Macaca fascicularis: one gene and its partners. The protein of the gene in region 4 interacts with the protein of the main gene of each other region in a biochemical or structural test. Links are inferred from orthologs where the notes say so. Each region holds a gene or a part of one and is shown on either strand. Other genes may lie near its edges.

Region 1 (7,886 bases), on a different chromosome or scaffold from region 4:
CCTCGGCCTCCCAAAGTGCTGGGATTACAGGCATGAGCCACTGTGCCCAGCCAGAGACTTTTTTCAATGCAGCATTTTTTATTAATTTATTATGAGATAGGGTCTTGCTCTGTCACCCAGGCTGGTATGCAGTGGCACCATCTCAGCTCACTACAACCTCCATGTACAGGGCTCAGGTAATCCTCCCCCCTCAGCCTCCAGAGTAGCTGGGACTACAGGCATGTGCCACCTTGCCTAGCTAATTTTTGTATTTTTTTGTAGAGACGACGTTTCGCCATGTTGGCCAGGCTGGTCTGGACAACTCCTGGACTCAAGTGATCAGCCTGCCTTGGCCTCCCAAAGTGCTGGGATTACAGGCCTGAGCCACCCTGCCTGGCAGATACCTGAAACTTTTTATTTATTTATTTATTTTTGAGATAGACTCTCACTTTGTTGCCCAGGCTGAAGTGCAGTGGCACTATCTCGGCTCACTGGAACCTCCACCTCCTGGGTTCAATCCATTCTCCTGCCTCAGCCTCCCCAGTAGCTGGGACTACAGGTGCCTGCCACCACACCCGGCTCATTTTTGTTTTTCTACTTTTAGTAGAGATGGGCTTTCACCATGTTGGTCAGGCTGGTCTCTTAACTCCTGACCTCCGGTGATCCGCCTGCCTTGGCCTCCCAAAGTGCTGGGATTACAGGCGCGAGACACCTTAACTGGCCCTGAGACTTCCTGATGTATTTATTTGTTGACTTGTGTCTTATTCCCTAACTAGGGGGTTGACTGTTATTATGTCTCTTCTGTTTAAAATAGAACCTGGTAAATATCAATACTTTTGTTGAATGATGGATAAGTATGTCCTCAATACCTTAATTTACAATGGGTTTCTAGTATTCCTGTCAGGGACTGTAGGCGCACAATAAATTAACAACAGAAATTTTAACATAAAGTCATTACAACTTGGGCTAAAAAAAACTTTGTAGGGTTCTTGTAGCCCTTTAAGGTCTGTCTCACACAATTTTTCTTTCCAAGTCTGGATAAAGCTGTGGTGGTGTTTTCCCGGATCTGTTGTGCCTGTTTATGACTAACAAATAAACAAATGGCAATTCTTTCTCTTTTATTATTATTTTTTTGGGAACGGAGTCTCACTCTGTCACCCAAGCTGGAGTACAGTGGCTCGATCTCAGCTCACTGTCACCTCCGCCTCCCGGGTTCAAGAGATTCTCCTGCCTCAGCCTCCCGAGTAGCTGGGACTACAGGCGCGTGCCACCACGCCCAGCTAATTTTTGTATTTTTAGTAGAGATGCAGTTTCGCCATGTTGGCCAGGCTGGTCTCGAACTTCCGACCTCAGGTGATCGACCCGCCTCGGCCTTCCAAAATGCTGGGATTACAGGCGTGAGCCACCGCGCCTGGCCAATTCTTTCTCTTTAGCAATAGTGTCAGCACACTCCATTACTCTCCAGTTATCTTTTAAGAGAAAATAAAAGGCTTCAAATCACCTGTACCAGATCTAAGAGTGCTCTGGCGGAGTCATACCTCTGCAAGGTTAGAGATGTCAAAGGGAGTCCTGGTCTAGCGAGAAATGGGAGAGTGACACAAAGTACAGGTGCTTGGGTCGGGCGCGGTGGCGCACTCCTGTGATCCTAGCACTTTGGGAGGTCGAAGTGGGAGGATCGCTTGAGCCGAGGAGTTCGAGACCAGCCTGGGAAACAGAGTGAGACCTTGTCTCTATTTAAAACAAAAAAAAATCGGCTCTAGCCTGTAATTCCAGCACTTTGGGAGGCCGAGGCAGGCGGATCACCTGAGGTCAGGAGTTCGAGACCGGCCTGGCCAACATGGTAAAAACCCGTTTCTACTAAAAATACAAAAGAGCCGGGCGTGGTGGCGGACACCTGTAATCCCAGCTACTAGGGAGGCTGAGGCAGGAGAATCGCTTGGACCCGGGAGGTGGAGGTTGCAGTGAGCCGAAATCGCGCCAGTGCACTCCAGCCTGGGCAGCAAGAGCGAAACTCCGTCTCAGAAAAACACCCCAAAAAGTCAGAATGCTTCACAAAAATTAAAGAAATACAGCGACTGCAGATGGGTCGGTTTCACTATAGCACAAGTAGCGGAAAGAGGACACAGACTGGGGAGAAATCACCCTACACAAGATGACAACTGAGGAATGAGGAGTGGGGACTGACACACGCCACGGTGAAACCGCGCACCACGACCAAAGGCGGTCCTAGGACTGCGACTAAGCGGGCGCAGAGGCCACCCTCCAGGCTTGGCGGGGGGATGAGGGCAGCACTGGGGGCCTGCTCAGTCTGGCCTTAGGGAGGACCTTCGGGGCTCTCCTCTCTCCCCATCGATCCCTGAGCAGTTCCCGAACAGAAATCGGAGACCAGACGGTGCCTGGGCCCCAGCCCTCCCACGCGGACTGCGCCTTGGGCCTGGCTCGGAGGTGGGTCAGAGTCTGCGAAAGACCAGCGAGGGCTCTCAGGTTTCGGGGCAGGCGGCGGGCGCCCACCCCGGCTAGCAATGGGAGTCGCGCGGCGACCGGGCGAGCCCGGTAGGCAGGACAGGACTGCGGCGCAGGTCCGACTCAGGCGGAGGAAGCAGCCGCCGCCCCAGCTGATGGAGTGCGGCCGGGGGCTTCCCAGAGGAGGCGGCGACCTCGAGCCCTTTCGAACGTTTCTACCAGGCTAGCTCACGTAGCCTCGGCCCCGCCCGGCCCCGCCCCACCCACTCCGGCCACCGCCCCCTCCCCGGCCGACACTTCGCGGGTGGGGCGACCTGCGATAGCCCCTTTAAGAGGCGTGGTCACGTGCTCCGCCCCCACCTCCCCCACGCGCGCCAGTAAGGGGTGGGGTGCGGGAGGAGGTGCCGGGGAGGCTGGGGGAACGAGGTGTGCGCTGCTGCGCAGGCGCGGTGGTCGGACGACAGACCGTGTGTTTCCAAAATGGCGGCAGCGATGGATGTGGATACCCCGAGCGGCACCAACAGCGGCGCGGGCAAGAAGCGCTTTGAAGTGAAAAAGGTTGGGTCTCGCCAGCGCCTTCCTCAGGGAAGCTAGAGAGGCGCGGATCTGGCTGGCAGGCCCGAGGATGGTCGAGGCGCGGAGTAAAGGGTTTCATTTTAGGGCGTTCCTGGGACCGGGTACCACGAAAGGAAGTCGGGGGGCGGGCCTTAGAGTTGATCGGCGTGACGGCGGCCCACTGTCAGGGGAAGTGTTGGTTTCGATGTGAGGCTGAGGGGCCAATCACAGAGCTGCTTGTTGAGATACGCGGGGTTGCGACTTGGCGGCGGGAGCCAAGCGCCTGAGCTGTCACTGGAGTGGTTGAGAGGTGGGGGAAGGTAGGGTGGGGTGGGGTGGGGTGGGGTGGGGTGGGGTGGGGTGGGTGGAATGGGGAGTCAGAGCGACTGCGGCGGTGGAGGATGGGGCAGTGCGGCGAAAGCCTGGAACCTGAGGTCCTACCGCATTGGAGGCCTCTGAGGAGCCCCGCTAGTGATCTTGCTCCGCCCCTTTTTGAAGCTTGCTTGGGGTCCTCTCACTTGAAGGGATCAGACTTGTTCCTCGCTGAACCGAGGCCTCCATTAACCCCATCTCTGGGCCTCACACCGCCGAGTTAGAGTCTGGAGTGTAATGCTTGGGTGTTCTGAGACGTCTGTTGGCTTTTCCCACAACCACCCCACTCTTGGATTCTCTGTCACGTTCAGAATCTCCCCCTTCCGAAATAATAATAAAAAGCACGGTGGAACTTGTTAAGAAAATCCGAGCCCAAATCCTGTGGCATTTCGGGAGGGTTGAGTAGTAGTTGCGAATGACTTGGTAAGAGGGGAAAGCAAAAATGGAACGTGTCTTTTGCATGAAATGCATTTTAGTGGTTTGCCACAGTTTGGGAGAAAAGTGTCGATTCCCACCTAACATGAAAACTATTCGAAATGGAGATTCTGAAATAGGGAAGATATTCCTGGAACATCTGGCTAAACACTGACAATATCCCCCCCTCCTAGTGCTTTTTGGTGTCTCATTGTGGCCACTGCTGCTCAGTTACAGCCAGCCATATTGAAGAATAATAGAAGTAGGGGCTTTTCCTCCAAGTTGAAGCTGTGATGTGAAAAGTGGTGAAGAAGTTACTAGGCACTGAGACTGGGGTTTGAAAGCGATGAAGGTTTGGGAGTACTTGTAATTGAGGAAACCAGAGTTGAATGAATGAAATGCCACTTTTAGTTAAACTCTTACTGGAATTATTATCTTAATAGAAGAGTCTAAACATATAAAAGTTCAGAACATCAGTTTATTTTATGGTAAGAATCGAACAAAATTCTAGTGAATTGTAGAATTTGTTATGAAGTAATCTAAGATTTAAGTGATGACCTTGTTCTGTGTACTGACATGGGCAGTTAATTATCCAGCTTATCCCACGATTACCCGTTTTATGATCCAGTCATCATCTTAGTTCATTCTGTTCCCTAGCTTTCACTTCATTGCTCATGCTTCCAAAGCTGCCTGGAAGAGCAGATACTTATTCAGATTTTGAGCGCTTCTGCAACTGCCACCAAAACCTGCACAGAAATTCAAGTTTGTGCTTTTTTTTTTTTTTTTTTTTTAGATGGAGTCTCACTCCATCGCCCAGGCTGGAGTGCAGTGGCACGATCTCGGCTCACTGCAACCTCTGTCCCCCAGATTCAAGCGATTCTCCTGCCTTAGCTTCCCAAATAGCTGGCATTATAGACACCCGCCACCAAGCCTGGCTAATTTTTGTATTTGTAGTAAAGACGGGGTTTCGCCATATTGGCCAGGCTGGTCTCGAACTCCTGACTTCAGGTGATCCACCCGCCTCAGCCTTCCAAAGTGCTAGGATTATGGGCGTGAGCCACTGCGTCCGGCCAGACTAAATTGTTTTAAACTACAGGAAACAAATTAAAAGATGACATTAATTTATGTGTTCATATACTCAGTCTTTTGGAGAATAGGAGAATGTATGTGTTGTCTACTGTTGTCTTTGGTATAATAAGATTAACATAATATCCAAAAACTTTTGTTTGGTGGTTCCCTGTGGCCAGAGATCATAACTACAACTGCAGCCTGAAGTCCTAAAAACTGTGTGTGTGTTATAAGGAGAATGCATTGTTCCCTCTTTTTGTCTTTGCAGTGGAATGCAGTAGCCCTCTGGGCCTGGGATATTGTGGTTGATAACTGTGCCATCTGCAGGAACCACATTATGGATCTTTGTAAGTAATTGGAGGAGGATGGGAGGAAGTTGAGAAGGTTGCAGAGCTTGTGGCTATCTTGATGTGACCGATTTTCTTCTTCACAAGCAGATATCAAGCCTACTCTGAGCACTCGGTCTTCTGTATCTAGTCTTTTGGTGTGTTTGAAATAGAGTAGTTTTTTTATGATGTCCTGGAGGCATACCCAGCTTTCAGAATAAATCTACTCAATCTAAAGATGGCAGGGACACATTTAGAATTAATTGTGGACAACAGGCACTGTTGATTCTTCCTGCATATCTCCCATCTTGTACCTAGACTCAAAGGTAGAAATACTGAAAGGAGGAAAATAAACTTTGAGCTAAAATATTCTATCTGAGGCGAGGCGTGGTGGCTCATGCTTGTAATCCCAGCACTTTGGGAGGCCAAGGCGGGCAACATGGTGAAACCCCGACTCTATTAAAAATGCAAAAATACTCTATTAAAAATGCAGAAATTAGCCGGGCGTGGTGGTGCATGCCTGTAAACCCAGCACTTTGGGAGGCTGAGGCGGGTGGATTATTTGAGGCCAGGAGTTCAAGACCAGCCTGACCAGCATGGTGAAACCCCGTCTCTACCAAAAATACAAAAATTACCTGGGCGTGGTGGTGCATGTCTGTAATCCCAGCTACTTGAGAGGCTGAGGCAGGACAGCTGTTTGAACCTGGTAGGTGGAGGTGGCAGTAAGCTGAGATCACACCACTGCACTACAACCTGGGCGACAGAGCAAGACTCACAGTCTTTTTTTGAGACTCAGGGTCTCAAGAAAAAAAAAAAAAAAAGTTTTTGAGACTCAGAGTCTCAAAAAAAAAAAAAATGTCTATCTGAGCTAATTTTTGCTGGTCATTGTTTACAAAGGAAAGAAGCCTAAGGAGTAAGTATTTTGTATGTTAGGCCCAAACATAATAAAAAGGAAATCATTGCCAACATCTAAATAGGTAATTGATTGCACTAAAGAAATTTCATTTAAATCTCCACATATTTTATTACATGTAGTGGTCAGCACATAGTGATCCGATTATAGTCTTTGATGGACTGATTTCCTGTCCTTATAGTAGAAGGAACAAGAATGTTGATCACACCAGGAACAGTAGAGGTTACTTTTTCATCCGGGAACTAAAATGATTTGTTACTGAGGCCAGAAATGGAGGAAAGAAACTTCAAGTTTCTAGAATTGGAATTATAGGAACTTACTTTTCAGATCACTCACCTGCCTTTACAACTTCATCTTGAGTCACTCCTGCTCACTCTGTTAGTTTACCTGGACACTTTTTTTTTTTTAAACTAACTATGGTGGCCAAAGCAGCCATGGCCCCTGGCCAGTTTTCCTTTTTTTTTTTTTTTCTTATTTTGAGATGTAGTCGCCCAGGCTGGAGTGCAGTGGCGTGATCTCAGCTCACTGCAACCTCTGCCCCCTGGTTTCAAGCAATTCTCCTGCCTCAGCCTCCTCAATAGCTGGGATTACAGGCGCCTGCCACCACGCCCAGCTAATTTTTGTATTTTTAGTAGAGACAGGGCTTCACTATGTTGGCCAGGCTGGTCTCAAACACCTGACCTCAGGTGATCTGCCCACCTCGGCCTCCCAAAGTGCTGGGATTAAAAGCATGAGCCACCGCTCCCGGCCTGCTTTTTCATTCTTAAGTGTCCATGCTCTTTTTCAGAGCCCTTACATAGCCTATTCTTTCTCACCTAGAATATTCTTCACCTGTTCTCTTCCTTGGTTTTGTCTAACCCAGCACTGTCCAATCTGAATGTAAGCCACAAATACAAACACATACATAATTTTAAATTTTCTTTTTCCTCTTTTTTTGTTTTTTCAGAGACAGGATCTCGCTTTGTTGCCCAGGCTGGTCTCGAACTGGCTTCAAGTGATCCTCCCACTTTGGCCTTCCAAAATATATAGGCGTGAGCCACTGTGGCTGGCCTGAAATTTTCTAGTACCCACATTCATAAAGTAAAAAGAAAATAAAAAGGTGAAATTAATCTATTTTATTTAACCTTTTATAGCCAAAATATTTTTATTTCAACATGTAATTAATGTGAAAAAAGGAGATATTTTACATTCTGTCTTTGTACCATCTTTGAAATTCAGTGTGTATTTTACACTTACAACACATCTGGATTCAGACTAGCCACATTTCAAGTGCTCAATAGTCACATGTGGTTAATAACTACTTTATTGTGCAATGTAACACTAACCCAGAGTTGAGCTTTAGATCTTATCTTAAACTTGCTCAGATGTTTTCAACTTGGAAAGCACGAATCAAATATTTTCTGTTGGAAAGCAGTCATGGCATATACTGGTCATGTATTGCCCTTGGCTTCTTTGAGCTTTTGACACTGTTTATCTCTTCACACTGCAGCCAAGGGAGATCAGCAGCTACCATGATGTTTAATATAGATGACGTGAGCCCATCACAGAAAAACATATGCATGGTTTCAAATGTGTTTGGGTGGGGTCTTTGATTACATGCTTGCCAGTTTCTGGGCCTTGCATTTTCACAAGGAGTTATACCCAGAGAAAATTTTACTTTATTGGGGCTCTATTTTGAAAATAGTTAATGATTTTTAATGATCTTATATACCACCCTGATTTTTTTTTTCTCTATACTTAAGTCAGTGTATATGTGTCTCTGGATATGAGAGAATGTACTTCTTAGAAGGACCACA
Region 2 (7,428 bases), on a different chromosome or scaffold from region 4:
GTTATTACAGTGGAAAAAAATATTTTCTGAATGTGGCATGTGTCATTTGGGGACAGCGTGGACAAGCCAAAAGCCTTTAAAGATCAGAATATTTCTGTTTGTAGATATACTGCCTAACGTACAAAGCTTAGGTTCTTTCGTGTTGGGATCGGCAGGTAGCATCACTATTCTGTGTTGTCCAAAGTTAATAAGGTTGGTTACCCTTCCACATGCTTCTGAATTAGTTCTACTCTTTGATTTTCTAGGACTCTCTTAGCCTCCACCCATGTGAATCATAATATCTATATTACGGAGGTGAAGACTGGCAAGTGTGTTCATTCCTTGATTGGACACCGCCGTACTCCGTGGTGTGTCACTTTTCATCCCACCATCTCAGGCCTTATTGCTTCCGGCTGCCTAGATGGGGAAGTTAGGATTTGGGATTTACACGTGAGTATTTCCTTAAGATACCCTTTTCTTTTGGTATTCTGTTTTTTTTTTGTTTTTTTTTTTTTTTTGAGATGGAGTCTCACTCTGTCGCCCAGGCTGGAGTACAGTGGCACGATCTCAGCTCACTACAACCTCCGCCTCCCAGGTTCAAGTGATAACTTCTGCCTCAGCCTCCCAAGTAGCTGGGATTACAGGCATGTGCCATCATGCCTGGCTAATTTTTATGTTTTTGGTAGAGACAGGGTTTCACTATGTTGGCCAGGCTGGTCTCAAACTCCTGACCTCAAGTGGTCCGCCTGCCTCAGCCTCCCAAAAGTACTGGGATTATAGGCGTGAGCCACCATGCCCAGCCTCTTTTGGTATTCTAAATACAGAGACTTGTTTACCATTGAGTTTTTAATTCTGGAAGAGCCTAACTGGGTTCTTAGGACTACATCTGAATATATTGTGGTAGACATTGCCCACTTAATTAACAGGAAGTCTAATTCCCTGTCTTCCATTCCTTTTTGTTTTTTTTTGCAATAGCTTAAGCATGCCCTGAGATTGTCTTCCATTCTAAGATGAACATCTGCTTTTACTTCCTTTGGCCCATTGTGACATAGTACAGGAGAATCTAAGATATGTTCAGGATGGATTTCTATTGTGTAAGGGCAAAGATTGTCCTGTACTCCGATCATGATCATCAAAGCAAGATCCTCTTTGTCCTAGTAACTGGCTAGCAGGTTGTCTTGCACCATGTTGTGCACCAAGCTTGAGTTTTTCTCAGGCTTTAGATATAGGAACTGTGGGCTGGGCGCGGTGACTCACGCCTGTAATTCTAGCACTTTGGGAGACCAAGGCAGGAGGATTGCTTGAGTTCAGGAGTTCGAGACCAGCCTGGGCAGGATATTATACCAAAAATATTATACACAAAATTATACAAAATTAGCCGAGCATGGTGCCATGTGCCTGTGGTCCCAGCTACTTGGGAGGCTGAGGTGCGAGGAATGCTTGAACCTAGGAGGCAGAGGTTGCAGTACGCTGAGATTGTGCCACTGCACTCCAGTCTGGGTAACAGAATGAAACCCCCTGTCAAAAAAAAAAAAAGAAAGAAAAAAAGAAGTAGGAACTGTGTATATATGCTTATTGCTTGTAGATTGTGAATAATTTGAAGAACTGAGCTGATTGTATAGTATTTGTCTGATAAATTAGTGGCACTGCCAGATCACTGATCTTCTACATCTTTTTACAAGGATGTATTTAAAGTAGTCACTAGATGTAGTCATTTTACCTTAAATGGACCTTTCTTGAAATTGACTTCCCAGTGTGCTGGTGGCTTGTAACCTGAGAATATCTGGAATTGGTTTGTTCACAGGGTGGCAGTGAAAGCTGGTTCACAGATAGCAACAATGCCATTGCCTCCCTGGCTTTCCACCCTACGGCTCAGCTCCTGCTGATTGCCACTGCCAATGAGATCCACTTCTGGGACTGGAGTCGACGGGAACCCTTTGCTGTGGTGAAGACAGCTAGTGAGATGGAACGGGTCCGGTGAGTGCGCTGCCCCATCAGCATTGTCTGGCACAGGACTGACATGATAGAGAACATTCTGCCGGCTGTCACTTTGGAAGACAGGTTGTTATCCCTGCTTAGGGGAAGTTGTCATCCTCACAGCTCCTCCTATGTTTTTTTTTTTTTTTGAGGCCGGGTCTCACTCTGTCACCCAGGGTGGAGTACAGTGGTGCAATCTCGTCTCACTGTGACCTCTACCTCCTGGATTCAAGCTATTCTCGTGCCTCAGCCTGCTAAGTAGCTGGGATTGCAGGCGCCCACCACCACACCCGGCTCATTATTTTGTATTTTTAGTAGACACAGGGTTTCACCATGTTGTCCAGGATGGTCTTGAACTCCTGGCCTCAAGTGATCTGCCCACCTCAGCCTCCCAAAGTGCTGTGATTATAGGCGTGAGCCACCGTGCCCACCCCTGCCCTTTTTTATTTTATTATTAAAGAGACAGGGTCTTGCTCTGTTACCCAGGCTGGAGTACAGTTGTGTAGCCATGACCTCATGGGCCCAAGTTACTGCAGCCTTGACCTCATGGGCCCAAGCAATCCTCCCACTTCAGTCTTGTGAGTGTCTGGGACTACAGGTGTGTGCAACCACTCTCAGCTAATTTTTAAATTTTTTTGTAGAGACGGGGGGGTCTCACTGTGTTGCTCAGGCTAGTCTTGAACTCCTGACCTTCAGTGATCCTCCTGCTTTGGCCTCCCAGAGTGTTGGGATTATAGGTGTGAGCCACTGCACCTGGCTGCCTCCTACTTTCTAAACAGCTGACTAATCAGCTGGGAGACACTCATTTTGTTCATTTCAGCTTTCCCTTATTGGCCTCCTCTTCTGAACTTTGGAGACCAAGATCATTAGACTCTCTTTTAGTTTCAAAGTTAACTGTGTTTTGGATAGTCCTTCTTTGGGAAAACCTGAAACAAGTTTGGGTGGTATTTTAGATACCTCGTTGGGTTGTCTTTGTATATCAAACTGGAAGATGGAGATGTAAGCATGTAATTGACATTTATTTAGTACTCAAGATCAAAACATATTGCTGCTATTAAAGATGATGCATTGTGTTTCTTTGGTCCTCTTGGATTTGCAGTCAAATACAGGCCAATTTTCTGGTTTCAGCTATGTCATTTAATGCTGGGTCTGTTCGTTGCCACCAAGATTCATGCTTCTTGCTGGTGTAGCTGCCATATGAGGGAAGAACTGATTCTGTGGCAGAGTATGAGAGCATTTTATGCTTTATGGTTAGGATGAGCTCTTGTATTTGAGCAAAGATGTGCTTAATGTAGCTGTTTCCGGGGATGGAAACCCTAGGTGTTTTTCATGTGAAATCGTTATTTTTGTGATACATATTCCTTTACTCTGGCAAGAAGTATTGAGTGTTGTTATTTTAATCTCTTTGAAAGTTTTGAAAGTCTTGAATGAAGTGGATACCTGAGTGATACCAGTTATCAGTAATGATTGCTATAAATTTGAACACAAGTTTTCTCTTCTCAGTTAACATAATCTCTCTATGCGTGTCTTTGTCTCTTCTGTGATTTCAGTCTGGTGAGATTTGATCCACTTGGACACTACTTACTCACAGCAATTGTTAACCCCTCTAATCAACAGGTAAGCTAGTCCAGCAGTTCCAATTCCAGCTAAACTGTGAGTTCTTTTCCTAACTAGTATTCCAATTCTGATTATATTGGATTTAAATTCTCAATACCCAAGTCTTTCTTTCCAGTCAAAATTTAAAGCTAGCTTCAGATTGTATATTCAGGGTTATAGTCATAATCTTGACAGGAGAGTCGATTCTAAAACTCTCCAGTGATCGCATCATTAGAAGTAACCCTTATCATCACTAGACAATGTTGGATAGCTTGTCACTCATGTGCCTCTGGCTGGTTGACAATTCGCTTCCCCTCACTGCTTCCATGTCATGGAGAGATGTCTTTTGTAAGACAATTGGTTTGTCAGCTGCACTCATTCAGATATGCTGCTGATTGGGAGTGGAAATTTTAATACCATGGGATTATTCTGAATCTGAGGCCAGTTGTCAGTGCTTCAGGGGTAGAGAGTTGTTTCCTACCTGTGAACATTGTTTTCCTTGGATGATTGTCAGTGGTTAGTTTTTCTTGATTTACTTGGAGGTACTACCTAACTGCCTTGCTCTACCCCCTGCCCCATGCTGGTCCACGTTGCAGGGTGATGACGAACCAGAGATCCCCATAGATGGAACAGAATTATCCCACTACCGTCAGCGTGCCCTCCTGCAATCACAGCCAGTTCGCCGGACACCTCTCCTCCACAATTTCCTGCACATGCTGTCCTCCCGCTCTTCTGGCATCCAGGTGGGAGAGCAAAGCACAGTGCAAGATTCTGCTACCCCCTCACCCCCACCGCCTCCCCCTCAGCCCTCCACGGAGCGCCCCAGGACTTCCGCTTACATCAGGCTCCGACAGCGGGTCAGTTACCCCACAGCTGAGTGCTGCCAGCACCTTGGGATCCTGTGCCTTTGCAGCCGCTGCTCTGGCACTCGAGTTCCTTCCCTCTTGCCACACCAGGACAGTGTCCCCCCTGCTTCTGCCAGAGCTACTACCCCTTCCTTTTCTTTTGTACAGACCGAGCCCTTCCATCCCCCGGAGCAGGCCTCGTCAACGCAGCAGGACCAGGGCCTCCTGAACCGGCCGTCTGCCTTCAGTACAGTCCAGAGCAGCACTGCCGGCAACACGCTCCGCAACCTCAGTCTGGGTCCTACCCGCCGCTCTTTGGGAGGGCCTCTGTCTAGCCACCCTTCTAGGTATCACCGAGAAATAGCTCCCGGGTTGACAGGATCTGAGTGGACCCGGACAGTACTCAGTCTGAACTCCCGCTCTGAGGCGGAATCCATGCCCCCGCCCAGGACCAGTGCCTCTTCAGTGAGTTTGCTGTCTGTGCTGAGACAGCAGGAAGGTGGCTCTCAGGCATCTGTGTACACTTCAGCCACAGAAGGGAGGGGTTTTCCAGCATCAGGGTTGGCAACTGAGTCAGATGGAGGGAATGGCTCCAGCCAAAATAACTCGGGCAGCATTCGCCATGAGCTTCAGTGTGACCTGAGACGCTTCTTTTTGGAGTATGACCGGCTTCAGGAGCTGGATCAGAGCCTGAGTGGGGAAGCTCCCCAGACCCAGCAGGCCCAGGAAATGCTCAACAATAACCTTGAATCTGAAAGGCCAGGCCCTTCCCACCAGCCCACCCCACACAGCAGTGAGAACAACTCCAACCTGTCCCGTGGCCACCTGAATCGCTGTCGTGCTTGCCACAATCTCCTGACCTTCAACAACGATACCCTGCGCTGGGAAAGAACCACACCTAACTACTCCTCTGGCGAGGCTAGCTCCTCCTGGCAGGTCCCCAGCTCCTTTGAGGGTGTGCCATCGAGTGGCAGCCAGTTACCACCTCTTGAGCGGACTGAGGGCCAAACGCCCAGCTCCAGCAGGCTGGAGTTGAGCAGCTCTGCTAGTCCGCAGGAGGAGAGGACTGTGGGGGTGGCCTTTAACCAGGAGACAGGCCACTGGGAAAGAATTTACACCCAGTCCAGCAGATCTGGAACTGTGTCACAGGAGGCCTTACATCAGGATATGCCTGAGGAAAGCTCTGAGGAGGATTCACTCAGGAGGTAAGCAGTTGCTTTCCTGTCTTCTCCTGCATCCCTTGCTTTTCTCCTTGTATCATTTCCTTCAGTCCTATAGATGTTGTGGCTGTATTTGGAGTGTCTGGGACCCACGCATCTGCTTCTGATCTCCCCATTGCATTTTCTTGGAAAATCTTGCTCTGGTGGCAGAGATAGGATAGGGCCTAGCAGTATGAGTCAGTTGGCTGTGCTAGCTCTATTTCTGGCTAAGCTCAAGGTTCTGGCTTTAGCCTTGAAAGGAGAGTGTAGATTAGGTTAGAGAGGCATGAGGAGATGGAATCATTGACTTTCTCTGCCCTGCTTTTTGACCTTCTTGAGATGTTGTATGTGCAGGACTACTTATTGTGAGACAAAACAATGTCCCATCGTGCCTAGGAATAAGTAAAAGAGAACCCTGCATGGTACAGATTAGTCTATTGATTCTTTGCTGATTGTGTTGCTTTGGACAAGCGAGTTCACTTCCTAATCTTTATCTTTTGGAACACTGCAGTTTGACAAAAGGAAAAGAAAAAAATATGTATATCTATATATATATGTATGTCAAGGAAAGTTCCAATTTTTTCAGAGATACTTGTTTTTGGACAGCCTATTAGTTGCTCAGTTGAGATTCTCTGAATGGACCTTCCAGATGGACATTCACCTTGGGGTGGAGAAGAAGAAGAATTCATGGAAGGAAGGACACTCCATACTCGGATTGGCATCCTAGCCAACTCTTTCATGGCAGAAACAGAGTGGGTGTAGTTGATTGCCCACCACATGTTCCATGAATGGCTATGTGCGCATCTATCTTGATTTATTAGGGACTTCTTTCTGTAATTTTGTAAAGGTCAAAGCTAGCATAATCACCAACTCCCAGAATATGCCTGTTGGATCCAAACAGCATATTGCGCTGCATTACATCCTCTGTCGAAGCAACTGAAATTTCTCTGACATAAGCTTCTAACAAGGGTGGGAATATGAATTATGCACATAATGTACTTGTTATTTTGGGAGGATGCTTTAGACAGTCACTCAGTCAATAAGTATTAGTTGAATGGTTACAAATTTTCTAGTACTGTGCTAGGCACTGTGGGAAATACAAAAGAAGTATAATACATGGTCTTTACCAACCTGAGTCTACAGTGTTATTGTGGAGGCAAGACAACAAAATTTTTCAAAAGTGTAGATGAGCAAATGCTTCATTGTGTGGTACTGAGATTGGATGTAGTCTCAGAGAAAGGGAAGTATCATCCAAGAAGGCTTTGCAAAATCAAGTCTTGAAAGATGGGTAGGATTTGGAGAGGGAAAGACCTTTTTATTTCAGGGAACCAGCACATGCCAGGGAGGAAAGGGTATAGTGCATGTAGGTTCTTAGGCATTTACTAAGGGCTTGGGGTGGGAAACAGAGGGAGACTTGACTGGATGTGAAAGATAAACAAAACAGAGAGGTTTGCTAACTCTGCTCATATACTTGAAACCAGTTCTGGATTAACGGCTCCTCAATTCCTGGTTTTGGAATATTGTGCCTTGATACTGGTCTTCATCAGGGGCCCGAGCCTCTCTTCTTCCTCTTTGCCAAGAGACGTGAGAAGGCAGTCAACACAGTGCATGACATGTAGTAGGCACTTAAAAAGTTTATTAAAGGCCGGGCGCGGTGGCTCAAGCCTGTAATCCCAGCACTTTGGGAGGCCGAGACGGGCGGATCACGAGGTCAGGAGATCGAGACCATCCTGGCTAACACGGTGAAACCCCATCTCTACTAAAAAATACAAAAAACTAGCCGGGCGAGGTGGCGGGCGCCTGTAGTCCCAGCTACTCAGGAGGCTGAGGCA
Region 3 (7,428 bases), on a different chromosome or scaffold from region 4:
TAAAACTTATGAATTGTTTATTTCCGGAATTTTCAATGCAATAGTTTCAGACTATCGTTGACCATAGGCAACTGAAACCACAAAAAGCGAAACCACAGATGGGGATGACTACTGTATCTGGAAATTTAGTCTCTGAAAACTCTCATGTTCTTGTATACTACTTGGAATATGTGCATGTAACTCTAGGGGCTTAAGTTGTACAATGAGGAAATAATAGCTTTTTCCAAATGTGTTGTGGAGGTAAGCATTACAGTTTTATGTTCATAACACAATAAGGATCCAAAAGTAGCTTAGGGTGGTTCATCAGTGAAGTGTGTATTGCAGGGATTGCATAAGTAGAGGAGTAGGCAAGGACCAATCACTCACCATTCATTGGTGTTTGGATGTTAATTGTAGGCAGAGATGCAGAGTTAAAGTCATTGTTTAATTGTAAAAAATTGCAGGTTTTTTGGAGTGTATCATCTTCATTTCAACCAAGTTGTTCAAAAGTCCCTTTTGAGTTTGCATTTTGCAGTTGATTTTTTTTAATTCCAAAACATGTATATTTACATAACCTTTGAACAGAGGCTTTTGTTGTTTCTACACACTTATTCTGTAGGTTAATACTTGTGAACTCAACGTAACTATTGCATTTTTTTTTTGGAGACGGAGTGTTGCTCTGTCGCCCAGGCTGGAGTGCAGTGGCGCAGTCTCGACTCACTGCAAGCTCTGCCTCCCGGGTTCACGCCATTCTCCTGCCTCAGCCTCCTGAGTAACTGGGACTACAGGCGCCTGCCACCATGCCTGGCTAATTTTTTTTGTTTTGTTTTTGTTTTTGTTTTTATTTTTAGTAGAGACGGGGTTTCACGGATTAGCCAGGATGGTCTTGATCTCCTAACCTCGTGATCCTCCCACCTCGGCCTCCCAAAGTGCTGGGATTACAGGCATGAGCCAACGCGCCCAGCCTATTGCATTCTTTTAGTGGTCTTTAACAGCTCCTTTACAATGATATCTGATGTTGAAATTATGACATGATGGCCCCAGAACTAATTATTAAATTTGGATTAAATTTTTTGGTGCCCTTCTATTGATTCCTTCAGGTTATGTCTATGAGCATCCAAATGTAGATTTGTCTGAGGTTATATCAAGCTAGGATGTATTCTCCACATAGTACTTTTGATGAAAAGTGAGAATTCAGAGTACCCTAAAATGTGAGTTTGTTATGCTTTCAATAGATTGTAAACTCAGTGATTCCTCCAATGCTTATTGAACATTTGGTTTTCAGTAATTACTTGTTGAATGAATGTTTCTTTTATATGTTTAAAATGTCTTGACCACAAATGAGTATGATAAAAACAAATCTCTGAAGATATCTTACTATGTAGGACCATAGTGCACGTTAGATCTCTGACCCAAGCAGAATAAACTTTTCTTCCACCCTGAGTTTCCTGTTCTCTATTCTAAATTCAGTGAAAATTTACCCATCTTTCAAGACCTCCTGTAAAGACTGCCTGACCCACTGCCACTAGCCAGGGCTAACTAAATGTTTACTAGGGGTAGGTACATAACGCTTCACTTTACAATTTCTCTAATATCATTTAAGATACTATAAGCGTTGCTATTAACATTTTAGATTCCTACAATTTCAGCAGTAAAGGAAAAAGAAAGTAAATTTGGTGAATATGTTACTGGCTATAGTAGTTGCATTGATATATATTATTTTCTTTGGCTCTTTGACCACTGGATTTTGTATGATGTTCCAGCATAAGAATTTAATAGAAAGGGATAACAGTTTTAATGGAATGCTTTTGTGGTTGTCTCTTTGGTAGGAGAAGGAGGAAGATCTTTCTTAATATGCAAAGGCCTCTTATTTCTTCTAATCTCAATGTGCTAGTGAGAGTCTTCATTTTAGATAGTAAGCCCAAAGCTATACCTCCCCAGAAGTTGGAAGTGCTTTTTCATTTTTTCCTTAGGACTCTTTTAAGGAAATACCAGAAACAGTGTCTTCCATAGATATTAATAGTAAGTGGATCTATGTTAATATCTAAAGTTTCTTAAGAACAAATATATACCTCTGGATTTGTTAAAAATGCTGAAATGTGATGCTCTATTGGAATTCTATAAGGAATTGTCTTGTTTTAGGATGGTCTTCACAATACCCTCTACAATCCCTTCTGACTGGTTATCAATGCAGTGGTAATGATGAACACACTTCTTATGGAGAAACAGGAGTCCCGGTTCCTCCTTTTGGATGTACCTTCTCTTCTGGTAAGAGAATTACTCTCTAGGCAAGGCTTGGACAGAAATGATCTATTTCACATTTACAGGGCAAATATACTTCAAAAAGTAAACTAGGTAGATGTTAGAGTTTTTGTAAAAACTGTTGTCTTTTGATTTATAAAATAGACTTTTCTTAATCTCTATGCATCATTAGCATAACTATATTTCTTCTAAAGCATAGGATTATTATAGCACCATTTTTAAAAAACCAATATAAGGAAATGGTGGCAAAGGTTCAGCTACAATGAAAACTGTTTTACCCAGTAGATACATACCCTTTGATCTGGTTGAATGTATCTTTCTGTGACTCACTGGGGAATATATGAACAGAAATAGAAGTACTTTGGCCAAGCTGAGTAGCTCACGCCTGAAATCCCAGCACTTTAGGAGGCCAAGGCGGGTCTGGGTGCAGTGGCTCACACTTGTAATCCCAGAACTTTGGGAGGCCAAGGCGGGTAGATCACTTGAGGTCAGGAGTTCGAGGCCAGCCTGGCCAACATGGTAAAACCCCATCTCTACTAAAATTGCAAAAAATTAGCTGGGCGTAGTGGCGCATGCCTGTAATCTCAGCTACCTGGGAGGCTGAGACAAGAGAATCACTTGAACCTGAGAGGCAGAGGTTGCTGTGAGCCAAGATTGTGCCATTGCACTCCAGCCTGGGTGACAGAGTGAGACTTCATCTCCAAAAAAAGAAAAAAGAAAGAAATGGAAGTACTTGTCTCCACCCATAATAGTTTTGAGAGGAGAGAAAAAGTTGTGAAAAGGAAATTTAAAACTAATAGACTCCTTACAGAAATTAGCCGAGCGTGGTGGTGCACGCCTGTAGTCCCGGCTACTGGGGAGGCTGAGGCAAGAGAATCGCTTGAACCTGGGAGTCGGAGGTTGCAGTGAGCCAAGATCACGCCACTGCATTCCAGCCTAGGTGACAGAGGGAGACTGCGTCTCAAAAACAAAAACTAATAGACTATTACGTAGCAATGATTGTGGTAAAAATACGTAAATAAAAATATGATTAAAAAAAAAAAACAAAACTAATAGACTCAGCCTGCTGGCGGCCTATATCATCATATGCTTTTGTTTGCCATTGGCCAGTACCACTCCTGTTTTGTTTAAGTACAACCCTCGATTTAGCCCTTCTCTAAATAAGAGATTATGTGAAGAAAATTTTGGTGGTTTTGAGGAAACTTAAAAAGTTTTGTGGCTGGGCGCAGTGGCTTATGCCTGTAATCCCAGCACTTTGGCAGGCTGAGGCAGGTGGATCACTTGAGGTTAGGTATTCAAAACCAGCCTGACTAACATGGTGAAACCCCATCTCTGGTAAAAATACAAAATTAGCTGGGTGTGGTGGTGCATGCCTGTAATCCCAGCTACTTGGGAGGCTGAGGCAGGAGAATCACTTGCACCCAGGAGGTGGAGGTTGCAGTGAGCCAAATCGTGCCATTGCAGTCCAGCCTGGGCGACAGAGCCAGACTCCGTCTAAAAAAAAAAAAAAATTTTGTGTTACTCTTCATATATTTTATTCTTTATTTCTGCTTTAGCTCCCAATATGGAACACGTACTAGCAGTTGCCAATGAAGAAGGCTTTGTTCGATTGTATAACACTGAATCACAAACTTTCAGAAAGAAGTGCTTCAAAGGTAAGTCTAGGTCTACAATTTTTGTTTTAACATTTAAAAAACTTTACAGATCCTCAAGTGTATTATTATTTGAACACATTCTGTTTTAGTCTGTCTTGTGTTGCTACAAAGGAATAACTGAGACTGGGTAGTTTATAAAGAAAAAAGGTTTATTTGGTGCATGATTCTGCTGGCTAGAAGATTAGACATCTGGTGAAGGCCTCAGTCTGCCCCAACTCATGGCAGAAAGCAAAGAGGAGCCCATGAATACAGAGGTTACATGGCAAGAGAAAGGGGTAGTACCAAGCTCTTTTTTAAACAATCAGCTTTCCAGGGAACTAATAGAGTAAGAAGTCACTCATCTGTTCACCTCTTAGGGAGGGCATTAATCTGTTCATGAGGGATACACCCCCATGACCCAAATGCCTTCCATTAAGTCCCACCTCCAACTTTCAGGATTGAATTGTAACATGAGATTTGGGAAGGGACAAACATCTGAAGTATATATAACACATTCCTGATTATGTTAACTTCTGATGAAGTCTTTTTAGGGACCAGGTTAGATGTGAATGGTGGACTACCTATCTGTCAATAACTGTTAACTATGACAATGCCTTTACTCAAAGTTAAGAAAAATACATTTTAGGATTAAAAACAATTCCTTCAAAAAGTTGAATCTTTAACACTTAATGTGGTTAGAGAAGTGTTGCTTTAAAATATTTATATTGATCGAACATTTTTCAGGTATAAAGCAAAGTTCTTCTAACCTTAAGAAGCTGATAATTTGGAACCTATAAGTCAAGTGTTGAAATAAATAAAACAAAGGCTATAAATTATACAGAAGTAGAAAGAAAACACACTGGTGTCAAAGAGAAAACTCTCATGTAGTAAAGAAGGCTAGGAAAATTTATGAAGAATGGGGCATTTGAGTTGGACTATGGTATTTAGACCGGTGGAAATGGAAGGGGGTACTCCAGGTGAAGGGAAAAGCATTAGCAAAGGTCTAGAGATGGAAAAGCATAGGATATAATAAAATAGGAAGTGACCAATTTGGTTGGAATAAGATATCGAAAACAGTGAGAGATGAGGCTTGCAACCAAGATAAAGACTAAAGAATGCAAAATGTTGAATGTCAAACTAAAGTATTTTACATTCCATTCAGAGAGCATCATGAAGTTCTTTTTATTTTTGTTTTTTGTTTGTTTGTTTGTTTGTTTTTGGTAGAGATGGGGTTTTACCATGTTAGCCAGGCTGGTTAACTCCTGGCCTCAAGTGATCTGCCTGCCTCGGCCTCCCAAAGTGCTGGGATTACAGGTGTGAGCCACTGTGCCCAGCCAGTATCATGAAGATTTTTGAACTGGAATATGTTTCAGAAAGATTCCATTTTAGAGAATATATAACTAGTGAACTCATGGAAAGGAATTTGACATCAGATGTTAGTTCTCATGTGGTAATTAAGGGAATGTGTAATTTCTATGAGTCCACAAATTATCTTTGCTCATGCCAAAGAGTGCTGACTACTGATTTTTTATGTGTGCATCTTTGTTTTTATTATTTTAAGTTCCAGAGTACATGTGCAGGACACGCAGGTTTGTTACGTAGGTAAATGTGTGCCGTGGTGGTTTGCTACACATATCAACCCATCACCTAGGTATTAAGCCCAGCATGCATTAGCTTTTTTTTTTTTTTGAGACAGAGTCTTGCTCTGTCACCCAGGCTGGAGTGCAGTGGTGCAATCTCGGCTCACTGCAAGCTCCGCCTCCCGGGTTCATGCCATTCTCCTGCCTCAGCCTCCCGAGTAGCTGGGACTACAGGTGCCTGCCACCACGCCCGGCTAATTTTTTGTATTTTTATTAGAGACGGGGTTTCACTGAGCTAGCCAGGATGGTCTCGATCTCCTGACCTCGTGATCCGCCCGCCTCGGACTCCCAAAGTGCTGGGATTACAGTCGTGAGCCACCGCACCCGGCTGCATTAGCTATTTTTCCTGATGTTCTCCCTCTCCGTGCTCCCCCTCAACAATCCCCAGTGTGTGTTGTTCCCCTCCCTGTGTCCATGTGTGCTCGTTGTCCATGTGTGCTCGTTGTTCAGCTCCCACTTATGAGTGAGAACATACAGTGTTTCGTTTTCTGTTCATGCATTAGTTTGCTGAGGATAATAACTTCCAGCTCCATCCATGTCCCTGCAAAAGACATGATATCATTCCTTTTTATGGCTGCATTGCATTCCATGGTGTATATGTACCAAATTTTCTTTATCTAGTCTATCATTGATGGGCATTTGGGTTGATTCCATGTCTTTGCTATTGTGAATAGTGCTGCAGTGAACATATGCATGCATGTATCTTTATAATAAAATGATTTATATTCTTTTGGGTATATACCCAGTAATGGGTTTGCTGGGTCAAATGGTATTTCTGGTTCTAGGTCTTTTGAGGAAGCGCCACACTGTCTTCCACAATGGTTGAATTAATTTATATTCCCACCAACAGTGTAAAACTATTCCTGTCTCTCTGCAGCCTTGCCAGCATCTGTTGTTTCTTGACTTTTTAAATAATTGCCATTCTGACTGGCGTGAGATGATATCTCACTGTGGTTTTGATTTGTATTTCTCTTAATGATCGACTACTGATCTTTTTACTACTACAGCTTTCCAGGCATTTAAACTTCTATTAATATGGCTACCACAGAATACAATTTAGACATTTCACATTTACCATTTTCTTTGTTTAGAATGGATGGCTCACTGGAATGCCGTCTTTGACCTGGCCTGGGTTCCTGGTGAACTTAAGCTTGTAAGTGACTTTATTTCATTAGGATCTGGGTAAATACTGATAAGGGATTGCTTTGTTAAATTGTGCTTACCTTATTTTTGAAAGGTTACAGCAGCAGGTGATCAAACAGCCAAATTTTGGGATGTGAAAGCTGGTGAGCTGATTGGAACGTGCAAAGGTCATCAATGCAGCCTCAAGTCAGTTGCCTTTTCTAAGTTTGAGAAAGGTAGGTTTGTGCTTATCCTCTTTCATCTCCTTAACCTTCTTTACAGTGGGGAGGTAAGAACCTGTAATTGTTTCTACCCTTTCCCCTATCAAAGTTACTACTTTACCTACCTAGATGATTAAGATTCTTTTTTTGGAGACAGTTTCATTCTGTTGCCCAGGCTGAAGCGCAGTGGCACCATCTCGGCTCACTGCTACCTCCGCTGCCTCCCAGGTTCAAGTGATTCTCCTGCATCAGCCTCTGGAGTAACTGGGACTATAGGCGCATAGCACCATGCCCAGCTAATTTTTTTGTATTTTTAGTAGAGATGGGGTTTCACCATGTTGGCCAGGCTGATCTAGAACTCCTGAGCTCGGGCAATCCACCTGCCTCAGCTTCCCAGAGTGCTAGGATTACAGGTGTGAGCCACTGCACTCAGCCAGGTGATTAAGATTCTAATATGACTGAAAACCTTAATAAAATTAAATTGGTTTTAGGCCCACTCTTCTGGACATTATCTCTAGCTTGTCTCTGAAAGTCAAGAGTCTTTGGTAAATTTTTATATAGTCATGCACA
Region 4 (6,747 bases):
CGTTCATTTTGGTCTCTTTTGCAATTTTCTTATTGTATTCATTTTTAATATAAAGAAAGAGTTGGATTTTTCTCTTCTATGATGTTCCTCTAGTACAACTGATCATTAATTTTCTATTTTAGCTATTTTTATAAGTACTTGTTAATCAGCACAGTTAACTTGGGGCTAAGCCATATATACACATCCCATACTCATAAACGAAAATTTTTAGGATGTGAATATACAAGATATTATGTAAGCAACTGTCCCCCTACTTGAAAACTTGTTTCCAAATAATTTTTTTTTAAAAAACATCCCTTTCAGTGTAACAGAACATTACCTAGTAAAATATCAATAGCTATGACAATTCATTTCTCTTTTCAAGGGAAATCACAAAACGGGTGAACAACCAAGTCAAGGGTGGTTTTTCTATTTGATAAATACATCCAGAACTCTGTACAGTAAATAAAGTTTGCATGCAGTTTAGGTATCTTTAAATGACATTTTAAGCAAATAAACCTTTTGCTTCATAATTAATGGTATATAAGAACCCTCCCCCATTTTTAATAGCCACAGGGATCTCTTTCCCAGTTCCAAAGAGGAATTCATGAAGACCAGGTACGTTCTTAAGTGTTTTCTGCACATCATACTAAATAACATGCAAAGAGTTCAACAACATTCTTCTTAAAGGTAAGTATTACTCTTTAAAATGGGCATGTTAACCACTGAGAAAAAGTCCACTCAACTATTTCCATTAATTACACTGCTTCATTTGGTCATCGGTAGTAAAAAAGGAGTCAAATAATATTGAATCAACAGGTTAGTTTATCCACTGGCTACTGCATATGACACCAAATGCTGCAACATTCTATGCAATATAGTTGTACTGGTTTGGATTTTCTTTATCTCTTTCCATGTAGTCCCGGTCAATTAAAGATTCTATTCTCTTCTTAAGATCAGCAGGCTGTAAGAGAAGGCAAATTTTCAATGTAAAGTTCATTATCATTGGCTTAAGCCCATTTAGTTAACACCCCATTAAAAACACAACAGTTTTGGCTCACGAATTTAATCTCCTTTTTTAAAATTTGTATTTATTTAAATCTCTTTTTTAGAGAAAAATATCACGAAAATAAACCAGGTTTAAAAATGTTTTATACACGTTGAAGATTCTTTTTTTTTTTTTTTTGAGACGGAGTCTCACTCTGTCACCCAGCCTGGAGTGCAGTGCCACCACCTCGGCTCACTGCAACCTCCACCTCCTGGGTTCAAGCGATTCTTCTGCCTCAGCCTCCCAAGTAGCTGGGACTACAGACACAAGCTACCACGCCTGGCTAATTTTTGTATTTTTCGTAGAGACGGGGTGTCACCGTATTGGCCAGGTTGGTCTCAAACTCCTGACCTCAGGTGATCCACCTGCCTCGGCCTCCCAAAGTGCTGGGATTACAGGTATGAGCCACCGTGCTCAGCTATGTTGAAGATTTTTTAACACCAGAAATGTTTTCGATTTTTAATTTTCTTTTATAGTTCTTAATTTTTTTTAAATACAGGGTCTTGCTATGTTGCCCAGGCTTACCTTAAACTCTTGTTCTTGAGTGATTCCCCCCAGCCTCAGCCTCCCAAAGTACTGGAATCCCAGTACTCACAGGTATGAGCTACCCTGCCTGGTCCTGATTTTTTCATTTTGGAATATTTGCATATACATAGTGAGATATCATGGGGATGGGACCCAAGTCTAAACACAAAATTCATCTATGTTTCATACATACCTTACATAGCCTGAAGATAATTTTATACCTTTTGTGCATGAAACAAAGTTTTGACTGCAACCTGTCAAATGACGTAAAGTGTGGAATTTTCCACCTGTGGCATCATGTTGGCATTCAAAAAGTTTCCAATTTTAGAGCATTTCAGATTTTGGATTTTCTCATTAAAGGTGTTCAACCTGTACTATATACTATACATACATTAAACTGTCACACCCTTGTCATATTGTTACGCAATACTTTCTATTACTTTTCTATTTTAAAGAGGTCATGCCAGAAGCAGCTACCCTTTGCGTGGTTAAATACAAAAGACTACATTTATTGTAACTTCACATGAGGACTATATAGTTTTGTCAAGATAGTTTGTGAATTACACCTTTACTTTGGGCAAGAGTTAGTTGGCTTAATTTTTATAAATTAAGATTTAAAATGTATTGACGAAATCACTATTTAGACCAGGTGCGGTGGCTCATGCCTGTAATCCCAGCACTTTGGGAGGCTAAGACGGGTGGATCACCTGAGGTCAGGAGTTCAAGACCAGACTGGCTAACATGGCAAAACCCCATCTGTACTAAAAATACAAAAATTAGCCAGGTGCGGTGGCGGGCGCCTGTAGTCTTAGCTACTAGGGAGGCTGAGGCAGGAGAATTGCTTGAACCTGGGAGGTGGAGGTTGTAGTGAGCTGAGATTGCACCACTGCACTCCAACCTGGGTGACAGAGCAAGAAGACTCCATCTCAAAAAAAAAAAAAAAAAAAAAAAAAATCACTATTTAAAAGAATACTGGCCAGGTGCAGTGGCTCATGCCTGTAATCCCAGCACTCTGGGAGGCTGAGGTGGGCGGATCATGAGGTCAGGAGTTTGAGACCAGTCTCGCCAATATGGTGAAACCCTGTCTCTACTGAAAATACAAAAATTAGCCAGGCGTGGTCGTGCGCACCTGTAGTCCCAGCTACTTGACAGGCTGAGGCAGAAGAATTGCTTGAACCCGGGAGGCGGAGGTTGCAGTGAGCCGAGATCACGCCACTGCAATCCAGCCTGGATGACAGAGTGAGACTCCATCTCAAAAAAAAAAAAAAAGAAAAAAAAGAAAAAAAAAAAAAAACACTACATGAAATGGCTTGATAAATGAAGTACCTCATAATTTAGATCTTCATACTTCTGGTTTAATGCATCTGACTTGGATTTCTGCATCCTGTGATTTAAAAGTAATCAAGAAAGCTTGTAGCTTTATCTTCATGATTGCATTCTAAGCTCCTGGATGACAAAATTCCACTATATATCTTATGTATCTAGCCTGTAAATATAATATAATCTTGTTTGCTAATAGAAAGTTTTTCAGTATAAGTAAAATGACCACTTGTTCAAGAGGGGAAAAGAGGGGAGACAGTCTGATGCAGCAGTGAAAATTTTATCCAGAAATCCCAAGGTTTGGAAATCAAATGACTTTCTCTTAATTACAGTGAAAGACCTAGAATATCAGCACAATATTAACTACAGCAATCCCCTAATTTCCCCAGCATCAGTGATCTCTCTGGCTTCAGCTGAAATGATTGTTAGGCAGAGCATGAGGGTAAGAGTATGGTAATAAGGAGTGCAATATTAGGTTTGGAGAAAAGAAAATGCTTACCTTATTAGAACTAAGAGCTACAGAGTGCTTATTATGTACCAGATCCAGTGCTAAGATTTTTACATTCATGATCTCATTTAAACCTCACAATAATCCTACAAGGTAAGCACTATTATCTCAATTTTACAAAAAAGGAAACAAGATCAGCAAAGTGAAGTGATTTATGAAAGTCTAAAGCTCATAAGAACCCTAATAGCTAGCAGTCTATTCAAACTCTATCAATGTTTATCATCCAAGGGTTTGGCTATCTACCTCCTAAAACTTGGAAAATAGGCCAGTACGACATCACATTAAGTGACTTTATTATTGGGCACTCACAGTGGAACATTTCCATTTAATGACCAATTTCAGTTTACCAGAACTATCACTACACTTTTCAAAAAGATGCTTAATGATGACTAGTTATCTGCATGGTCTTTAACAGATGATCTCTTACATAAGCTAACTAAACAGGAGATTTAACTCAATCCACAATAACCGAATCTGTCAAATACCATGGTATTTCAACAAATACCATGGTATTTCAAGAGGAAAAGAAGTAAATAAACCAACCAAGAAGTTCAAAAGAAATATAGTGAATAAACTTGAAAATTTCAAAGACTCACTTAGCAGTTAAACTTTCAGGTATCCAGGATTTTCTGTTATTTTCCCCTTTTGTCACTGCTGCCCACATATGCCAACAAAGTTTTTTTGGAAATCATATGCATCAAAATGGAAAATTAAAACTTTTCTCTCTCTAAATGGTCATGACGCTTTATGTTTGCAAGATTTGTATCTGAAAATCTAATCTACTTTCTTTTATTTATAACACGCTCAATAGGAAAACACAGAAGTACCTACCTTAACTGGAAATTTCAACTGGTTGTACACTTCTGAAACAAGGAGATTGTGGCTAAGTGTCTTTCTCATCTTCATAATTCGAACAATTGCAGCATCAATTTGATATTGTCTGTCTTGAAATACTCTTTCTGTAGTGCTTGCTTGTTCTTCAACCTAACAAAAAAGTTTTAAACCTAAGAATTATACCAGAAGCAAAACCTGACTATTTACATAAATTGTGCATTTTAGGGACATGGCATTGTTATTGCTTTAAAGGTACTGAATTTTCTAATTGGGGTCTTATATAGACGCTGACAGAGAAAAAGCCTACAAACATAACTCCTTTCTGTTCTGATTATATTGCCCTATACCAATGAAGTAATGCTAATATTAGTTAATAGAAAAACATCATCTTTGAATTGCTTTTCTAGAAGTAGAGATAGCTGATGTGGAATTTAACATTTTGTTTTTTTACTCTGTCTTTGATATCTTCTAAATATGTGTATCAGTTTCAATGGATTGTTAACCAGATTTCTCTATGACAATAGCTTGTCTATAAAGTGATGGACTCTGTCTGACCTGACTCAAGGCATGGTATTAACTGGCTAAGCAAACTAGTTAAGAGTCAAACTCTTTGAAAATTAATTTTTATTTTGTAATATATAAATCAGACATGCATGCCATTAATGCTTACAATCCTTCAAGACTTATAGACATGTAGGTATTTAGGAGGCGGTTTACCAATCTTGATGCTAAAGCAAAAATGTTCATCTTTCGTAACTAAACCAAAAAAAGTCTGGGCTTTTTGCAGCAGTTTCTTCCTGGTACAGCATAAACATTTTAAAAGTAAGGACATGGTAATCCTTTAAGAAAATATCCTTTGATGTGTATGTGAAAATGACAGGAACTTGTTTGAAGATACTGGTTGCTGTCCTACATTAAAACTTTTCTCCGCTGAGCGCAGTGGCTCACACATGTAATCCCAGCACTTTGGGAGGCCGACGTGGGTGGATCGTGAGGTCAGCAGTTCGAGACTAGCCTGGCCAATCTGGTGAAAACTCATCTTTACTTAAAATACAAAAATTAGCTGGGCGTGGTGGTGCACGCCTGTAGTCCCAGCTACTCAGGAGGCTGAGGCAGGAAAACCACTTGAACCCAGAAGGCAGAGGTTGCAGTGAGTCAAGATCGCGCCACTGACTCCAGCCTGGGTGACAGAGTGAGACTCCACATCAAAAAAAAAAAAAAAAAATTTTTTTTTTCAAATATTGCATTAAACCTTATTGGAACTGAAACCATCAGTTTCAGGATGCTGCAGTTGGAAGTCTCTTACAAATTCAAATGGCAAAAACAAACAAAATATTCACCTTCACTGTTTTTGTTTTTTTCTTTTTTTTAGACAGAGTCTCACTCTGTCACCCAGGCTGCAGTGCAGTGGCGCAATCTCAGCTCACTGCAACCTCCACATCCTGGGTTCAGGTGATTCTCATGCCTCAGTCTCCCAAGTAGCTGGGACTACAAGCACGCACTACCACGCCCAGCTAATTTTTATATTTTTAGTAGAGACAGGGTTTCACCACGTCGGCCAAGCTGGTCTTGAACTCCTGACCTCAGGTGATCCACCCGCCTCGGCCTCCCAAGGTGCTGGCATTACAGGCGTGAACCACCGTGCCTGGCCCACCTTCACTGTTAATCAAACAAATAGTGAATAAATCATTCAGATTTTTCACCAAGCAAGTTGGAAAAAGAAAATATAATCTTTAGTGCTGGTGGACATAGTAAGACAGGCTCTCATATGCTGCTGGACAGAGTATAAACTGGTTCAGTCTTTCTGGAACACAATATGACATTATGTACTAAGACTCCTAAAATGTTCATACCCTTTAACCCAAAAAAATCTACTTCCACACATTTATCATATATCAAAGAGATTAAAATTTAGGTTCAAAGAGGTTTCTTGCAATTTTATTTATAATACTAAAAAGTCATGAATTTAATTGCCCCAAAATGAACAGTGGTTGAATAAACTGTAAGAGCCATGTAAAAATATTACACTGCCATTTGCCATTTTTTGAAGCTATTTAATGGCATGGAAAAATTCTAAAGATTGAATATTAAATAAACAAAGTAGGATATAAAACCATGTTGAGTATCAACCCAATCCTGTACAAGCACTCTCCCAAAAACCCAAAATCAAATACGGAAATATATTTAGCTGGACATAGCAGAGAAAATGTTAATGGTATTGGCAGTATTACAGGTATAAAATCTTTATATATTTTAATTATTAACATGTATAATTCCAGTGTGTTAGGACTAGGAGAAAGTGAAAGAAATACCGTTTCTTTCATCTGGATTTGATTGATCTTTATCCTGAAAAGTTTGTGTTTGAAATCATCATTACAAATGAACTTGTCACCATCTTCAATATCTTTGCCCTTTGGATTTTTTGCCAGAACTCTAGCTTTGCCACAGGCTAATGACTGCAGTGTTCTCCTTAACTCTCCATCCTCTGAAGAAGAAAGAGAGGTTTAGTTATTTGTTACCAGCATGAACAACT

What was found.
Region 1: the proteins of CUL4B (region 4) and RBX1 form a complex in vitro, tested with the Homo sapiens proteins (4 studies listed by BioGRID, with this or other methods). The link is inferred for Macaca fascicularis from reciprocal best matches to the Homo sapiens genes CUL4B and RBX1.
Region 2: the proteins of CUL4B (region 4) and AMBRA1 form a complex in vitro, tested with the Homo sapiens proteins (2 studies listed by BioGRID, with this or other methods). The link is inferred for Macaca fascicularis from reciprocal best matches to the Homo sapiens genes CUL4B and AMBRA1.
Region 3: the proteins of CUL4B (region 4) and DTL form a complex in vitro, tested with the Homo sapiens proteins (2 studies listed by BioGRID). The link is inferred for Macaca fascicularis from reciprocal best matches to the Homo sapiens genes CUL4B and DTL.

Annotation. Positions count from the first base shown.
Region 1 is NC_088384.1:10,677,150-10,685,035, reverse strand, and holds the start of RBX1 (E3 ubiquitin-protein ligase RBX1), read left to right. Parts: upstream 1-2,897; 5' UTR 2,898-2,922; coding exon 2,923-3,000; intron 3,001-5,119; coding exon 5,120-5,198; intron 5,199-7,886. UniProt on the Homo sapiens protein: E3 ubiquitin ligase component of multiple cullin-RING-based E3 ubiquitin-protein ligase (CRLs) complexes which mediate the ubiquitination and subsequent proteasomal degradation of target proteins, including proteins involved in cell cycle progression, signal transduction, transcription and transcription-coupled nucleotide excision repair.
Region 2 is NC_088388.1:19,304,117-19,311,544, forward strand, and holds part of AMBRA1 (activating molecule in BECN1-regulated autophagy protein 1), read left to right. Parts: intron 1-245; coding exon 246-429; intron 430-1,783; coding exon 1,784-1,956; intron 1,957-3,506; coding exon 3,507-3,573; intron 3,574-4,148; coding exon 4,149-5,602; intron 5,603-7,428. UniProt on the Homo sapiens protein: Substrate-recognition component of a DCX (DDB1-CUL4-X-box) E3 ubiquitin-protein ligase complex involved in cell cycle control and autophagy.
Region 3 is NC_088375.1:69,849,867-69,857,294, forward strand, and holds part of DTL (denticleless protein homolog), read left to right. Parts: intron 1-2,121; coding exon 2,122-2,247; intron 2,248-3,797; coding exon 3,798-3,896; intron 3,897-6,606; coding exon 6,607-6,668; intron 6,669-6,752; coding exon 6,753-6,873; intron 6,874-7,428. UniProt on the Homo sapiens protein: Substrate-specific adapter of a DCX (DDB1-CUL4-X-box) E3 ubiquitin-protein ligase complex required for cell cycle control, DNA damage response and translesion DNA synthesis.
Region 4 is NC_088395.1:126,802,397-126,809,143, forward strand, and holds the end of CUL4B (cullin-4B), read right to left. Parts: intron 6,700-6,747; coding exon 6,527-6,699; intron 4,365-6,526; coding exon 4,212-4,364; intron 2,937-4,211; coding exon of another isoform or gene 2,895-2,936; exon of another isoform or gene 2,879-2,894; intron 944-2,878; coding exon 848-943; 3' UTR 25-847; downstream 1-24.